Schizosaccharomyces pombe: one gene and its partners. The gene in region 3 interacts genetically with the main gene of each other region. Each region holds a gene or a part of one and is shown on either strand. Other genes may lie near its edges.

Region 1 (4,287 bases), on a different chromosome or scaffold from region 3:
TGGACGAAATGGTCCTAGGGACACATCTCGTAATAATTCCTCTTCAGATTTATATGCACAGAGCGGGATGCACCCAAATATGAATAACGGTCACAGGGGTGCACCTAGAAATAATTCCTCAAATGATTTGCATGCTCATGGTGGTATGCCAGTCAATATGCGTGGTCCTAGGAACACTTCAAGAAACAATTCTTCAAGTGAATTTAATGCGCAAATTCCAATGAATTTACGTAATGGTCCTAGAAACGCATCTAGGAGTAATTCTTCAACTGATTTGTTCGGTCAAAGTGGCATTCCTGGAAATTCCCGTGGTATGCCAACTTCTCCTAACTCCAGAAATAATTCAGCCTTGGATCTCAGTATGCACGGCATTCCACTAGCAAACAACTCTCGCCAATTCAAGAGACCAAGTTATGGAAATATGTCAAGACCTTCTTTTGAGTTAAATGGTAGTCGTAATCCCTCACATGGCAGCCTGAATACCGCCCATGCCGGCATGGGTTATGGTCCTCGCAGTATGATGAGAGACCCTCAAAATTTATCTAATGTTCCCCCTGTTTCAAATACGTTAGATCAGCTTTCAGGCAACGCTGATTTCGAGCTTCCGGTTCGTGGTAACCGTAATAATAGACGGGGACCTGGTGGAAATCGGATGATCCGTTAATGATTATTCAATTGGACATTTTGTCTTCATTCTGCTAGCTTATGTATAATTTGAGAATTGATAGTTTCGGTAAACTGTCGATTTATTCCCTTAGATTGATTCTTTACTCATCTTCTTTCATTTCATTCATTTTACTTTTATTACAATTTTACTATCTCTTTGGCGAACCTATTAATTAAAGGACTGGTTCCTTTTATAAATTTGCATGCACAGTTTCAATTATTCATTTTACTTATCTTTCCATCTCATTAATATTCTTTCAGAATAAGCATGAGAACAATGACGATATATTGGTATTACATTAAAAATAGTTGTAGGAATTGTGTAGTGCTATCGCAAACAGGTACTTTTTTATGGTTTGTAGAGTATGTGTTTTAAAAGATTTTTTGTTGCATTTATATTTACGGGCCAAAGAATACAGTAATGCAAAAATGTATCTATCATCAGTGTATCTTATGAGTTTGGAAAACAACCAATTGATTAAAAAGTATAATTAAAGATGCTAAGTTGATCGTGATCGTTGACAATAAGGCAAACATAAAGAATGAGGACTGGAGGAATTTCTAATTTACACACTAAGGAAGGATAAATACTTTTTCAAACATTATCAGTTGTTAGCTGATCTTTCTTTTTAGAAGCGATCTTTTGTTTGCCAGACGATTTCTTCTCTTTTGTTTTTTTATCAGAGGCATTTTCGGAAGCTTGAGAAGCAGTGCTATTAGAAACGGGGGTTTTTTTTGGCTTCTTTTTAGATTTTTTGCGATCAGAAACTTTATCTTCTTTGATTACAGCAGCTGCAGATTCAGCAGGTGCCTTTGAAGACTTTTTTGATTCTTGTGAGCTTTTACCAGCTTTTGAATTGTTAGATGCCGGCTTTTCAGCCAAGCGTAGCTTTTTCTTAGCCTTCACAGATTTCTTAGATGGTTTTGATTTTCCTTTTTCTACAACGGCATTTTTTTTCTCAGCAAGATATTGTAGTAATGGAGTAGAGGTTTGTAATTTTTCAATAACATCGTCATTGGACGCAGTTTGCGAATAGCTCTCCCGCTGAACCTTGAATTCTTGAAACTTCGGATCTTGTTCAAGTGAGCCTTCTAAACTATCTGCCTTTACTTTAGAAGGAGGAATCTTTTGATATGGAGCAATTGTGACAATTGCCCTATAAGTGTTGTCTAATGCATGTTTGAGTTAAAAAAGAAAAATTTGAATGGTAACAACTTACTCTTCTTATCTATGAAGGTATGTCCTTGGTATACGCGAAAAAATTCCTGAACAGCCGTGGCGGATTGGAACTTCAAATACGCAAAGGATAGCAATTCAGATCGAGTACTACAAAGGCACGATATTAGTAACTATTTGCAAGAAAGGTTAAAGAAATAAATAAATACCCAACAGTTGCTTTCCCTTTGGAGAATCGGTGCCATTCCACGTGTGGTAAAAATGAGTTGATGGATTGGAGAAACACTTGTTCAGGCAAAGTTGGTGGTAAATTAAAAACGAGGACTTTGCATGGTAATCGTTTTTTTGAGATATCAGGAGCCATCTACATACATGCAATGAAATGCTTAAGGTAGTTCCCCTATTATAGAAAATTGGTGATTGATGATAACCAAAGCTTTTTGTAGGGAGGGTACTTTTGCGCTACTTATTTTAAACAACCTTTCCTTCGTTTACCAGACCAATACAGCAATCTGCAATTTACTGATAAGGTTGCAATCATTTAGCCTCGTTTAAATAACTTAAAGAGATGAAGTAGTGCCTTTTTCTAAATGACGTTACGATGTTCTACCAGTTTTCTTATCCAAAATGCGAGACCAATTTGTTCATCGTTACTATACAATTAAGGAATTGATTATTGGGACAGGTAATTGCACTATTGAGTGCTTCAGTAACCTAAATTTTCGCAACTGTGCATTATTTCATATACCGCATTTTTTTGCTATACCGTTATATTTCAGTCTGCTCGAGTAATCGTGCGTTTATACTCGTTTATTCCACTATAACTTTATTTGCAAATGATGCAGAAGCTGCAAGAATCGTCTCATACTCTGAAAACGGTTTTTTCACCATCAATTAGTGCAATCGAAAGACAAATTTGAAAAACATCTGTATGCTCTAATTAAGTCATCACAATGAAAGTAACTGTATTCGGCAATTGCATACAGAATTTACTCTAATGTAAGCGGGAAGCCATCGCTCGACAAGTGATGACGTTTTCTACTCCACATTCGAATAATGTGGAGGAAAAAAGGTGTTAGCGAGTTTGAGACGATCAAAACTTGGTTTTACCCATTGATAGTTAACAAGGTAGTACGGATTAATAAAAGGACACGTCCAGCAAATTCTCAAGCGTTTTCGCTGGATCGTGATGGTTTGGAAGCGAATGTTTCGGCAACTTCGAAATGTTTCGATTTTTTTTGAGTATCGTAACGTAATTCCTTGACTTCGTCAGAATTCGTTCTCCCCGTTTCTCGAAGCATCTCGAGGGTTAGGGTTGGTGAAGGTTCGAGAATGGACAAAGGTACATAAATAGAGGTTGGGGGACGGCGAAAGGGATATCAACAATTCTTCAAACAGCAATTGTCGTTTCGATTGTTTATTTCGTCTTAAATTAAAAAAAGCATTTTCTAAAGCGCATTTGTGCGAATCTATCGTACCTGTGTTATAATACTTATTAATTCACGTTTATTTTGTTTACGAATTTAATTTCATTCCCCCGTTTTTCATTGATACGAATTTTCTTTACGAACTATTAATACATTTCAAATATGAGCAAGTCTATCGGTATTGATTTGGGTACTACTTACTCGTGCGTCGGTCATTTCTCGAATAATCGAGTGGAAATTATTGCCAATGACCAGGGAAATCGCACGACTCCCTCCTATGTTGCATTCACTGACACAGAACGATTGATCGGTGATGCTGCAAAAAATCAAGTTGCTATGAATCCTCACAACACTATTTTCGATGCCAAACGATTGATTGGCCGCAGATTTAACGATCCCGAAGTCCAATCTGATATGAAACATTGGCCTTTTAAGGTCATCGAGAAGGATGGTAAGCCTTTGATTCAGGTAGAGTTCAAGGGTGAGACCAAGACCTTTACACCAGAGGAAATCTCCTCTATGGTTTTATTGAAGATGCGTGAAAGCGCAGAAGCCTTTTTGGGTGGCAAAGTCACCGATGCCGTTGTTACTGTTCCCGCTTATTTCAATGACTCCCAACGTCAGGCCACGAAGGATGCCGGTTTGATTGCTGGACTAAACGTCCTTCGTATCATTAACGAGCCCACAGCTGCCGCCATTGCTTATGGTTTAGACAGAAGCAACCAGCATGAAACCAATGTCCTTATTTTCGACCTTGGTGGTGGTACTTTTGATGTCTCCCTTCTTACTATTGAAGAGGGTATTTTCGAAGTTAAAGCCACCGCTGGTGATACCCACTTGGGTGGTGAAGATTTTGACTCTCGCTTAGTGAACCACTTTGCCCAAGAATTCAAGCGTAAGAACAAGAAGGACATCACTGGCAACGCTCGTGCTGTTCGTCGACTACGTACTGCTTGCGAGCGTGCCAAGCGTACTCTTTCTTCTTCTGCTCAAGCCAGCATTGAAATTGATTCTTTG
Region 2 (4,719 bases), 2.2 Mb from region 3:
GATTAGTGACTATATTTATTACTATCTTTATTGTACATTAAACCCTTATAAAGGAAGTTTCTTATTAATATCTAGTGTTAATCCATACGTAAGATTATTGATATAAATCAGTTGTTGCATATACCTAATTAAACATAAACACTTTTTTTAATACTGTTCAAATAACTTTTTCGTGCATCCAGTTCCTCGCTGGTTGAATCTGTGCGAGACAATGCAATCCATTTTGGATTTTCATGAAACAAGCGCATTGCGTGTATATAGTCATCAGTGGTCGTAGTAAAACGATGATAAATTCCAGGAGGAAGTATTATTAAGTCGCCTTTCTCAACAAAAATTCGAACCCATCTATCATCGACAGAACGGACATCAAAGTAACCATTACCATCGAGAATTAATCGAATTTCCTCATCTTCGTGCAAATGTTCTTCAAAGAACTTCTTTACCATATTGTCATAACGATCTCCAAGTCCTTTTCTACTAACAACAACTTCATCCCGATTTTTAAATCCATATTCTTTCATAAGGCCATCGGCGAAGGTATGTAGATCTCCATCATGATGTCTATAGGACACTTTAGCAGCTTCTAAATCTTCAGCTGAAACTTCAATCTTTGAGTCATTCGGCTTTCTTTGATCGCCTTCGTCTTGGAAAATGTATGCTCTCATTGATGTTATTTTTATGTTGAGTCACGAGCAAATTAAAGAAAATTAAGACTTTTTTAAATTATTGAACGAAAAACTTTAGACTAAACAGAAGAGGTGTCAATTGGAAAGCAGGCAAAACACTACTCGAGTGAGAGTAAAGGTGAAAATAAAAAAAAAAAAAAAAATTCTTCTGTGCATGTAATGTAATACAGTATCTATTGCATTATGCCAAACAAATATTATTGGGGCAGTGTGACAATAGAATATTACATTAAAGAGTTTTAAACTTATGCAATAAGTGCGCAATTTTGTTCATCGATATTCCAACATCGTGAATTTTCTGCTAATTTAGAAGTTTCTGTTTTCTTCTTTTTTGTAACAGTAACCTTTGAGAAAAGCAATAATACAAAATCCCCTTATAACTTTTTAATGTATTAAGCAAGTTTCACGCTAATCAACCAGACCGCCTATTATCATTCCAAAGGACAAGGTTGTTTATTTTAGTCAAGTTTGTCTATTTATTAGCAGTAACACGTTTAGGTGAACATAGATGCTGTGCGCAGCACGAAAGTGTTTGAACAAAACATTTATTTCAGTAAGACTAAATGCATTTTCTTGTCTGGCAGAACTAAATTTTCGGCATACATGGTATTGCTCTAAAAAAGAAACACCTTATCAACTAGAAAGACTCCAAGAAGAAGATATTGAGGAAACATTTATATGTGGAAAGGGCCCTGGTGGACAAAAAATAAATAAAACTAGCATAGTGGCCCAAGTCAAACATATTCCGACGGGAATTATCGTTCGATCTCAAGACACACGTTCACGTGAACAAAATCGTTGTATTGCAAGGAAACGGTTAACGGAGAAAGTAGATGAATTCAAACACGGGAACGATAGTCTTTTAGCAAGAAAAGTTCAACGTATTGTCAAGAAGAAAAAACAGCGAGAGAAAAAAAGTAAAAGGAAGTATGGAAATAAGATTGATGACCAGGATTCCAGCCTGAATAATAATGAAGCGAAACAAGACGTGATCTAATTTGCGTTGCTTCGGTACTCACATGGCATTAACTAGGAGTGAGATTTATCATTCATTATGAGCATATTCGTACATTTTTTTTAATAATTCTTTGGTAGATAGCATGCTTAGAGTCTTATAATGAGTAGCTAAAGATCTGTCTCAAAATCACCTGATATCAATTAAACTGATCATACCTTAGCAATTCCAATTTCAATATGATTAAGCGTAAAACTATTTTTTTTTGTTGAATATATAGTGTCAAGCACCACGAATCCTCCTGGCTAATTGCATGTCTCGTTGCATAATCGTCACTCGTTTAGCATGAATAGCACATAAATTCGTATCTTCAAATAGATGAACCAAGAACGCTTCAGCCGCTTCCTGAAGACATTGCAGTGCCGTAGATTGCCAGCGCAAACCAACATCCGTTGAAAAATTGGCTACAAATTCTGAAGATATCTCTCGTACAATTCTTGAAAACGGGAGCCTTTGTATTAATAAGTCTGTAGACCTTTGATATTTTCGAATCTCTCTTAACGCCGTAGTACCTGGACGATATCTCTTTTTACGTGGCCGTGGAATAGGATCTCCAGGCTCAGCCATTAAAGATTTCTTTGCCATATTAAGTTGTTCCTATCAATTTCTTTTGGGAATAAAGGTTTTTAAACAGTAATTGTTGGAACAAATGCAAGAGCTCGATACAATGAGTTTTGGTTTTGACAGGGGTTTGACGCGTCGCGACTAGCATAGACTCTAAATTATTTAGCTCACTATTTAAAAATGTAAACAATCAAACAGAAGTTCTTTGTCAGAAAATACTAAAGCTACTGTTTTACAAGAAAATCATTAAAATACATGAAAATATTAGGCTCTTGTTCGTTCCACATCATCAGCTAAAAAGAACAAGTATTAATAATAGCTTACGAATATATGATTTCTCACTATTTATAGGTAAGAGAAATTAATCATATAAACCCAAGCGAAACTCAAGACCGATTTTTTTTTAATTGAATAAACATATGTGCTCTCTTTATATCTCGGTTATAATTGATCCAAAAGCCTTAAAAATTTATCGTACTCTTTTACAAAGAATTACATAACGCAGTTTACCGTGGAAAAACAAATTAAAAATTTGACCTATGGTAAAATCAGACTGCAACAAGCATTAACTATTTATTAATTAATTTAATGAAGGATTTTTATAAGAAACATAATTAAATTGTTAAGTTAAAAATAATTTTTTTGACTTTTGCATTCCATTATAAAAACGGAAAGTTGTTTGTTCTCTGTTTTGCAATTCCTTTAATAGCTCAAGTGTTTTAAACATAAACGGTCGAGATGAGTACAAAGTCAAAGGACCAACATGCAAGGGTATCATATTTATACCAGGCTTCGCAATTACTTTTTAGAAACGTTCAAGAACCTACATTGTCGAGACACTATATCTCTACAGCCAAGGATGTTTCACAAAAATCAGTAATGCGAATACACCCAGATATAAAGCGCACCATATGTAAAGGATGTAACTCTTTATTGGTACCAGGAAAGTCATGTTCAATAAGATTTGAGGAACCATCACGGAAAAATCCATCTATCGATCGTGTATTGTGGATATGCAAAAAATGTGCGTTTAAAAAAAGGTTTTCGGACAAAAGTTGTTAAAACATGTTTAGCATTACTTTTGGAATGAAAGATTATTTGTATTCTATAAAGCCGGAGCAACTTTTGTTTGGTATTTTGGTTCTTTAATTTCGCGAGATTGCGATTCAAGTAAAGAAAGATTCCCCATTTCCCGCTTACTCCTTTTTCTTTTGAAATTTTAAAGGGTTTTTGTTGTACATAGACCAAGCAGGAAGACACACCTATTTTTAAATGAATGTTAATATTACATGACTAGAAGCAAAAAAACTAGCTTACAAGAGCCACCAACGATGCTAAAATTAAAAACAATTTAATCACACAATAAGAATCTTGAACTAAATACCCATAAATGTACGAAATAACCTATAGATATATTAGTAAATAAATGAGATTTTATCCCTGACATACAGCACTTGTACATAGACCATAGTTCATATACTTTTGACACCTTAATTGTCCTGCAAAATCGATCGTACCTTCAAGATAGTTCATGGTATGCTTGCTCTTTCTCAAAACAGTAAAGTTGCTTTTTGTATTATGTGGTTACAACGAATGAATCTCGTTATCGTTCGGTTTACCATAATAACGTGTTGTAATCCAATAGCACGTTGTACATTGATGAATATGAAACAAAAAACAAGCAAAAAAAGAGGCATGAAAATATATAGGCAAATCGGTTGCTCCTTCATTTTCAATAGATGTAAATCAACACCTCAATGTCAAATTCGATTTGAAAATGAAAAAGCGGCTCATTGATGACCTATTAACATTATATAGAAATGATCTTTACAATTAACAGGTTAAGGTACTTCAGCGTTCATAAACGATTAATAATTAATAAAGATTCACCAACAAGGGCTTAATTTAAATGTATGTGACTTAAATCGTATATTAATTGCTTAGGTGGTTTTTTTTTTCATTTGGTGAAATTATCTTTTATTAGATGTGCGATTATCATAAATTTTGCTAGTACTTCATTGCTAAAAGAGGTCAAGTCTCCACTAACGGTATAAAACAAGCATTACACGTATACCTTAAGCAATTTGGGTCGTGCCAAAAGCAATTAGTAATGTGTAGCTGTTAAAGTTATTAGGTTCCATAAAATTAAGAGCTTATTGCTTCAAAGATTTGTCCTTTCCGATTTTAAAAGTTGAGGTCTTCTTAGGGATAATTGCTTCGGCTAATTTATAATAATTTCTAATAGATCACCTTCAGTATTGATAAATTGCCTACTTGAAAAGTCAATGTGCAAAGCGTTTCAGAAAGTAATCATCGATGTCAGCAAAGGTCGTTTTAAAGGATTTCTTATCTCAAGCGCCAATTGATAAGTTAAAAGCTACTTTAAGTGGTCATTTGCCTGTTAGTTGCATAACAATGGATGCTAAAATAACATCATTACAGCCTGGTTACCAT
Region 3 (3,169 bases):
TTTGCTAATACTGCTGTAAATTCTACCACCTTGGGTCTTGCTGAGAAAGTAAACTTTGCTATCACGTCGGGATTACTTGATCGTAACAATGTGTGGCGTCAATTCACCAGCCTGTTCCTCATTACCTGGATTATGGGCACATTGTCTTACTTTTTGTCTGCCAGTTTTGCATATTATGTGTACTTTGATCGAGAGGAGGCCAGAAGGCACCCTAAATTTTTAAAAAATCAGGAGCATCTGGAATTGATGGTTGCTTTAAAAAATCTACCCGGTATGGCTATTCTGACAGCTCCTTGGTTTCTTGCTGAAATTCGTGGATATGGTTATGTTTATGATAAGCTTGATGAATATGGTTACTTTTATCTTTTCTTTTCCATCGCGCTTTTCCTTCTATTTTCTGATTTTTTGATTTACTGGATTCACCGCGCTTTGCATCATCGTTGGCTTTACGCTCCTTTGCATAAGCTTCATCACAAATGGATTGTTCCAACTCCTTACTCTTCTCACGCTTTTCATTATCTTGATGGATACAGTCAATCCCTTCCATATCATATGTTTCCCTTTTTCTTTCCCTTAAATAAGTATGTTTACTTATTGCTTTTTGGATCAGTAAATTATTGGACCGTACTCATCCACGACGGCAAATACTTTTCTAACAACGCTGTCGTAAATGGTGCTGCTCATCACGCTGCTCACCATATGTACTTTAATTACAATTATGGTCAGTTTTTCACCTTGTTTGATCGTCTTTGCAGTTCATATCGTCAACCAGACCAAGAATTATTTGACGCCGAACTTCGCAATGAGAAATTGCAAGAGCAGCGCATTCGCTTTATGGAGACAGTTCAATACACCGTTGAGGGTAAAGATGATCGCACTTATGCCAGCAAGAAGGATAACTAATTCACTTTAAGATTTATTATTTGATACACTCCCCTCTCTTTTGTTTTATGTTCTAGCTTGTCTTTTGAGAGAGAAGCTGAAATAAAACCGCTTTTGATTTGATTTATATAGAATTATTATTTTTGGTATTTTTTCACCGTGTTGTTAAAGCTACTCATATCGATTTTTTTTGCTAAAATGGAAAATATTGCTGAATTATGACTTTAATTCATGTAAACGTGAATTTGGGTTGAAAAGAAGTTATGAACGCTTACAGTTTTGTTTTTGATAGAAAATTAACGCTTTAAAAATATGCGTAACATGTAGTGATTGAGTCTTTTCTGTAGTAAGTTGTGTATAAAGTTCAGTAAAGTTCACATTGGGTAAGTTACTAATGCATCAAAATTATCGTATAAAAGGTACTAATCACATTTTTACTGCTCTAACATTTCTTCTTAGAAATACTCGATTATGTAAATCAAGTTTTTTACCTTGTGCCCTGATTAAGCTTTTTGACCGAAGAGAATGAAGATTTATTGGATGATTATGGTTGTCTTTCACCCCAAATTCGCGAAATCGCAGTACAAGTAGCTCTGTTTCGTACACTCTTGGTTTCTGATTTTCCGTTGGTATAAATCTCCGTCTTTCCAGTCGTTTCAATATGGCGTCAAATTGCTGCAAATTGTCCGGAATTTTTGTATTATGAAACACATTATCAAATGCAATCTCAATTGCTCTTGCTTTTTCTAACGGCATTAAATCCATTTGCTTAACATTTTAATAAAATATCACAGACGGAGAAACTTTCGAAAATTAGGTAGTCCGTTAATATACGAAAGAAAGAATAACTAATTATTGTCGTTTATTAAAGATACTTTAACTAATACTCCTTTTGGAAGAGTAAAACGCGTACTAGTGTATTTCCTACCCTTGAGTATGAGCATGCCATACACATGTGAAGAGTACAAGAAAGTAATATTCTCTTATAATTTCATAATGTAATATATATTATCATAAAGGATTTATATATCTAAAGTCAATAATTTGATATAATTAGTTGCTTTTCTCAAACAAATCATGTTATTTAATGAATTTACTAATAATCTTTTTTAATTGAAGTCCATTAGTTTAATTAGTTGATTTCGGTTTTGGACTCAAACAAATAGGCTCAATGAACTCTGTAATTGCAAATGCTACGTAGACCACCTACAAGAAAGAAAAAAAAAAAATATATATATATATTACAGAAAGCCTCAACTTACTAAGCAGTTAACTCTTGTATTTGAGACGTTTAATTTATACTCTTCTTGTAGAGCGAAGACTAATTTTTCCGTTTACGGTTTTGATTCTCGGGATTAGCGAATTCGAGGTATTTTAGTATATTTATGAACAAAAATGATACACCTGCCGCAGGGGAGTTTTACACAAGGACTAATAGTTGGACAATTGTTGACACTGGCCATTATTTATGTGTTTTTGCGGTTCTTTTTATTTTGTAGTCCAATTCCAAAGTCTGTAGCAAACTCTCCAAAACAAACGGGGAATGAAACACCTGACGAGACTCCTTCAACTCCTTTAAGTAATAACAAAAAAAGGTACAAAAAGCCTCTTACTATCCTTGAACCTCATATACTCAATCTGCTTTACGATGTTAATGAACATGAGCCGGAATCATTGGATTGGTTTAATGTACTAATAGCACAAGCTCTCATACAGTTTCGCTATGATGCATGTTCCAACGATGTTGCCCTGAGAAAACTTGAAACTGTTCTCAACAAAGGTGCTCAAGACAAGTCTATGGTTGATCATATTTACGTGCGAGATTTATCGCTTGGAGACGGATTTCCGGTTTTCAGTCATTGTCGGGTTCTACCTCATCAGCATAATTCCTCACAGCTTCGAGCGGAGATGCTTGTTTCTCTGACTGACAATATTAATTGCACCGTTGACACAAAGCTTTTACTTAATTTTCCAAAGCCTGCGTTTGCAACCTTACCATTGTCCATTACAGTTAGGATTTGTAAATTTGTCGGAAAGGTAAGTCTATTTACAACCTTAATAGTATATAGTCTCTACGATTCTTTACACCCCTCCCCCGGGGGTTTGAAACATCAAGTGTTAAATCGTATCACAGTGGTATTCTACGATAGACTATTTTTTTTCGTCTTTTAATAACGGTCTTTTCTAACATTTGTCCTAGATTATGATTTATTTTTCCCCAAGCAATGGTGCAGGCCAGCCTGCATATATGAACTTGTCATTTGACCCCAATTTCGTGATCTCGCTA
Region 4 (3,661 bases), on a different chromosome or scaffold from region 3:
TACAGTGTAATCTTCTTGAATAAACCCAATCCTTTGGCTCCAATCGTATGCTACATTAGCCCACTCAGCATAAGTATCGTTATCGGTGAATCGAGCCAGTCGAGCTGCAAGCTGAAAAAATGCTCCATTTGAGACAGTGTTCTTATAGTTGTACCCAGAGTTAAATTCAGTAATCTGCCATCGAAGACCACCGTTGCAATGATCCGTGTCCCATCGTGTGACCTGTTGGTTGAATACAGCTTGAGCCAGTTCCAACCATTGTGGTTCATCGGCTGCTGGATTTGAAAAGTTTGCTTCAGCGGCAGATATAACGGTCAGACCCCAAAATGCCTGATCGTCATTTCCCTCAGATGTTGTATAATTCGAAGGCATATAATCTGAATCCTCTCCAGATTGGTACAACATGCTGGTCTTTACCAACTCGTTATATGTACTATTACCAGTGGCAATGTATCTATTTAAAAGTCCCTAAAGCCATTGTTGTTAATAAATTATACTTTTAAGCTCAACGTACATTCCAAGCAGCCCCGGCTTCCCACCAGTAGGCTGGAGGAAGGAACATCCCGATAGTTCCTCCTTTGTGCTGACCAGCATAATAATTCAATAATCCATCAGCTACTAAAGAAGTGGCTAAGTCAACGGAGGACGTGTCATTCAAATCCACCGAAATGGCTTCAGCGAAGGAAAACAAAATAGTTGCAAGTGAAATAAAGATTGTAAGACTCATTGAAAAAGAAGGATTAAATAGAGTAGTATCTTTGAAGATTCCCATATGTATCCAGATGACTGTCGCCCTTCATATGATTCAATGATGACTCATTAATGACTGATAGAAATAATCTAAACAGTAAACAACGAACGACCAAAGGTAGGGAAAAAATATAACTTAACGCAATCTATCTTCTATAAAATTCTTAAGCCTTTCAATGAAAATACTCTCACATTTATTCGTGAGACCGACAGCCCCATGCATATCACAATGAGCAAGAAGGAAAACCTTAGAAAAAATACATCAAAAAGGTATTATTTAAATTGTGTCTTTTTGTTTTAACCGCAATTTTAACTGTTTGAATATAACAGTTTGTACATGGTATCCCAGTACTTTCTAGCGGTGGACTTATTTCCTCGTTCGTTTAGAGTATGTTCTTGCCTTTTCTTTTTTACCTTCCTTTCCCTCAATTTTCGGTTTTTTTAAACTGGATATTGTCTCCTTAACTGAGCGTAAAGTTTCATCGTGAAGTTCGAACTTTTCATATAGAGAGAGACAAAAGGACTTCAACTACAAATAAAATTAGTAATTTATTCTTCTTAAAGTTTATTTTTCTCTACTATATAAAGAATCACTGTACATGCCTTTATAATGTCCTCTCTCATTTCTAAATCAACTTGATACCGTGTAAGGCCTTCAGGATTTACGGTCTTATTACCTAGTTGGTAGCTTCACTGGGGTTAGTAACTAAGATGAAATCATGAACTTACGCTTGTAATTTGTCCATTGAAAAAGTATACATATCTCTACATGATTTTGTTAAAATTTGGTCAACCAAGTACGACTAGACATACCTAATATCATCAAGATATATAGGTGTAGAATTATACACCTTCCCAATCACTTCATTGCATCTAGTACAACTCAACTCTGAATAGACGCTATAATTTTTGTATTAGTAAACTGGCGAGCAACACATGCAACATACCAAAGACCATCATCACTCCTTTTAAACGTATCCTCAACGCGTACACTATTTTCTACTGCATCTAAATGAAATAATTAATTACATGGACATTTCTTTTACCACATACCACTCAAAGTGAAACTAAGATATTCTCGATGAGAAATAACCCAAGCATTAGAATCACCAACTATTTGAAAACATTTTTTACATTGGAAGACGCTAGGTTGTGACTCTTTTTTAAAATCAATATAGCCCGAATGACTAGTTTCCGTCTGGGACATACTTATGGAAAGTTCATTTTATCTAGTAGTAGTCGTTATTAATTAGGTGCGCTTAACATTCTATATATGGTGAACCAATATATATCAGATGTAGAAGCAAAAATTAAATATATTACAAAATTATAAAAAAATAAATTACTCATAGTCCTTTAACTGTTTTCGGAAGAAGGAATAAAGACGCCTTCCTGCTTCGGGGCCAATTAGTTCTGACCATTTTCTTTCTGAGGTTTCGGAAGCTTCTTGAATATCTTTCACGCCTCCATAAAACACATTTCTGTAGTTTTTCATAGTTATGTATGGGAGTCCCATTAGCAGGTCGAGTGGAGCTTGATTATAAGTATTCGTTGAGTCTTGCCCAGCTTCCAAACCTATAGAGGCAGCTGAAGCAGGATCTGGTTCTTGTTCCATGGCTTTCAAATCTTGAAAAATAATTGATGTAACGTAGGCACTAGAAGACCAAACAATCCTTAAGTTGGGAAACGATAATGTTAACAGTACCAGTTTAGATTGAACATCATTTTTTCCAATTTCGCTTGAAAGGTCGGAGAAAGGCTAAAAGCTGTCAGACATAGATTGTTTTAGTCAGACTTACTGGAGATGTAAAAGATTGGTGTTGTTCGAATTCAATTAACAAAACTGGAATTTCATAATATTCAGTCATAGCTTCACATTGGGAATAAAGACGGCCATTGCTTAATGATTGGATCAAATCTCTAATTGACTTCCTTTCAACACAGATCTTTGGTGATAATATATAATCTCCCACTAAGAGTTGGCAAGGGATAACAGAAAAATTATTTCCATGTAATATGGAAGGTAACGAACTACGGAATTCCCTCAAGTCAACGATAACCTTTAACGTTTTAATACATATAAACATAAGATATAATGAACGTACCCTAGGTTTCTCATTTGTGATCGATAACTGTCCTCCTCCAGCTATACGAGTATTGACATTTCTTAAAAACTTTGACTCTTGGCTTTCGAACCTTTCGGAATCAGCCGTCAGTACGATAGCCATATTCTTTTTAGATTAGCAAGTTTTGAAAAGTTTAGAATAACTTACAGATCGTTCTTTAATAAGACGAGAGAATGAATCTTTCTCTCTCCTTACAGAAAAAAGATATTTTTGCTCCTCAATCGATCCTCCATAGTACATAAAATAAACCCTTAGAGATCTTTTGGGATATGTAGCTTTGTAAACCTCGACTCTTCGAATAAAATTGGGATCAGAATCGAACATAATAACGTACCGAGGTCTTAAATTATTTAATACTAACTCATCTCTTTCACCATTGTAGGAATAGATATAGATGGAATTGAAATCATCAATAACTTCAAATGCATCATTGCCCACTTCAGGTTCATAACGTTTGGATAAGTGTGAGAGCAGACTAGACTTATTAGCGTGTAAAACCTAATAATTAGCGTACATTTTCTCTAGGCGTAAATCCCTACTAAAAGAATCATTCGCATCTGTATTATCAGAAGTTGTGCGTGAAGTGGCATTGTTTCCACCTCTTACCCTTCTTCTCTTTGAAGGTGGAACACCTTTTCTAGACGTTGTATTAGAAGCCTCTCGCTCCTTGGAAGGCTCTGGTTTCTTGATTGATTTACTCATCTTTCTATATTGTTCTCTCCATTGAAAATAGTCCACTAATTTGCTATTCATATTTTTCAAAGAGTCTTTATTGTCGTAAGTCA

The links.
Region 1: of mis19 (region 3) and upf3, a mutation in one rescues a mutant of the other (synthetic rescue), as found in Schizosaccharomyces pombe (one study listed by BioGRID).
Region 2: mutations in mis19 (region 3) and cnp1 impair growth when combined (synthetic growth defect), as found in Schizosaccharomyces pombe (one study listed by BioGRID).
Region 4: mutations in mis19 (region 3) and mis18 are lethal when combined (synthetic lethality), as found in Schizosaccharomyces pombe (2 studies listed by BioGRID, with this or other methods).

The regions. Positions count from the first base shown.
Region 1 is NC_003424.3:2,296,899-2,301,185, reverse strand, and holds upf3 (protein upf3), read right to left. Parts: upstream 2,288-4,287; 5' UTR 2,208-2,287; coding exon 2,053-2,207; exon of another isoform or gene 1,994-2,052; coding exon 1,887-1,993; exon of another isoform or gene 1,837-1,886; coding exon 1,262-1,836; 3' UTR 1,118-1,261; downstream 1-1,117. Other genes in the region: protein Mac1, read left to right, coding at 1-664; heat shock protein Ssa1, read left to right, coding at 3,433-4,287. UniProt on the Schizosaccharomyces pombe protein: Involved in nonsense-mediated decay of mRNAs containing premature stop codons.
Region 2 is NC_003423.3:3,536,168-3,540,886, reverse strand, and holds cnp1 (centromere-specific histone H3 CENP-A), read right to left. Parts: upstream 2,384-4,719; 5' UTR 2,287-2,383; coding exon 1,924-2,286; 3' UTR 1,684-1,923; coding exon of another isoform or gene 1,195-1,683; 3' UTR 724-1,194; downstream 1-723. Other genes in the region: adi1 (acireductone dioxygenase family protein), read right to left, coding at 129-665; pth3 (peptide release factor), read left to right, coding at 1,195-1,683; RNase P subunit Rpr2, read left to right, coding at 3,004-3,327; signal peptidase complex subunit Spc1, read right to left, coding at 3,462-3,527, 3,583-3,669, 3,715-3,798; 3-hydroxyacyl-ACP dehydratase Htd2, read left to right, coding at 4,582-4,719. UniProt on the Schizosaccharomyces pombe protein: Histone H3-like nucleosomal protein that is specifically found in centromeric nucleosomes. Replaces conventional H3 in the nucleosome core of centromeric chromatin that serves as an assembly site for the inner kinetochore.
Region 3 is NC_003423.3:1,322,209-1,325,377, reverse strand, and holds mis19 (protein Mis19), read right to left. Parts: upstream 1,648-3,169; coding exon 1,309-1,647; 3' UTR 1,004-1,308; downstream 1-1,003. Other genes in the region: C-5 sterol desaturase Erg32, read left to right, coding at 1-903; ERMES complex subunit Mmm1, read left to right, coding at 2,278-2,919, 3,083-3,169. UniProt on the Schizosaccharomyces pombe protein: Component of the CENP-A recruiting complex that ensures the integrity of mitotic spindles through maintenance of kinetochore factors mis6/CENP-I and cnp1/CENP-A.
Region 4 is NC_003421.2:512,814-516,474, forward strand, and holds mis18 (kinetochore protein Mis18), read right to left. Parts: upstream 1,995-3,661; 5' UTR 1,958-1,994; coding exon 1,804-1,957; exon of another isoform or gene 1,759-1,803; coding exon 1,698-1,758; exon of another isoform or gene 1,651-1,697; coding exon 1,564-1,650; exon of another isoform or gene 1,516-1,563; coding exon 1,480-1,515; exon of another isoform or gene 1,439-1,479; coding exon 1,354-1,438; exon of another isoform or gene 1,298-1,353; intron 1,280-1,297; coding exon 1,118-1,279; downstream 1-1,117. Other genes in the region: dcw1 (mannan endo-1,6-alpha-mannosidase), read right to left, coding at 1-468, 515-727; rad16 (DNA repair endonuclease XPF), read right to left, coding at 2,093-2,509, 2,550-2,810, 2,856-2,981, 3,024-3,351, 3,391-3,661. UniProt on the Schizosaccharomyces pombe protein: Component of the CENP-A recruiting complex that ensures the integrity of mitotic spindles through maintenance of kinetochore factors mis6/CENP-I and cnp1/CENP-A. Maintains the deacetylated state of histones specifically in the central core of the centromeres.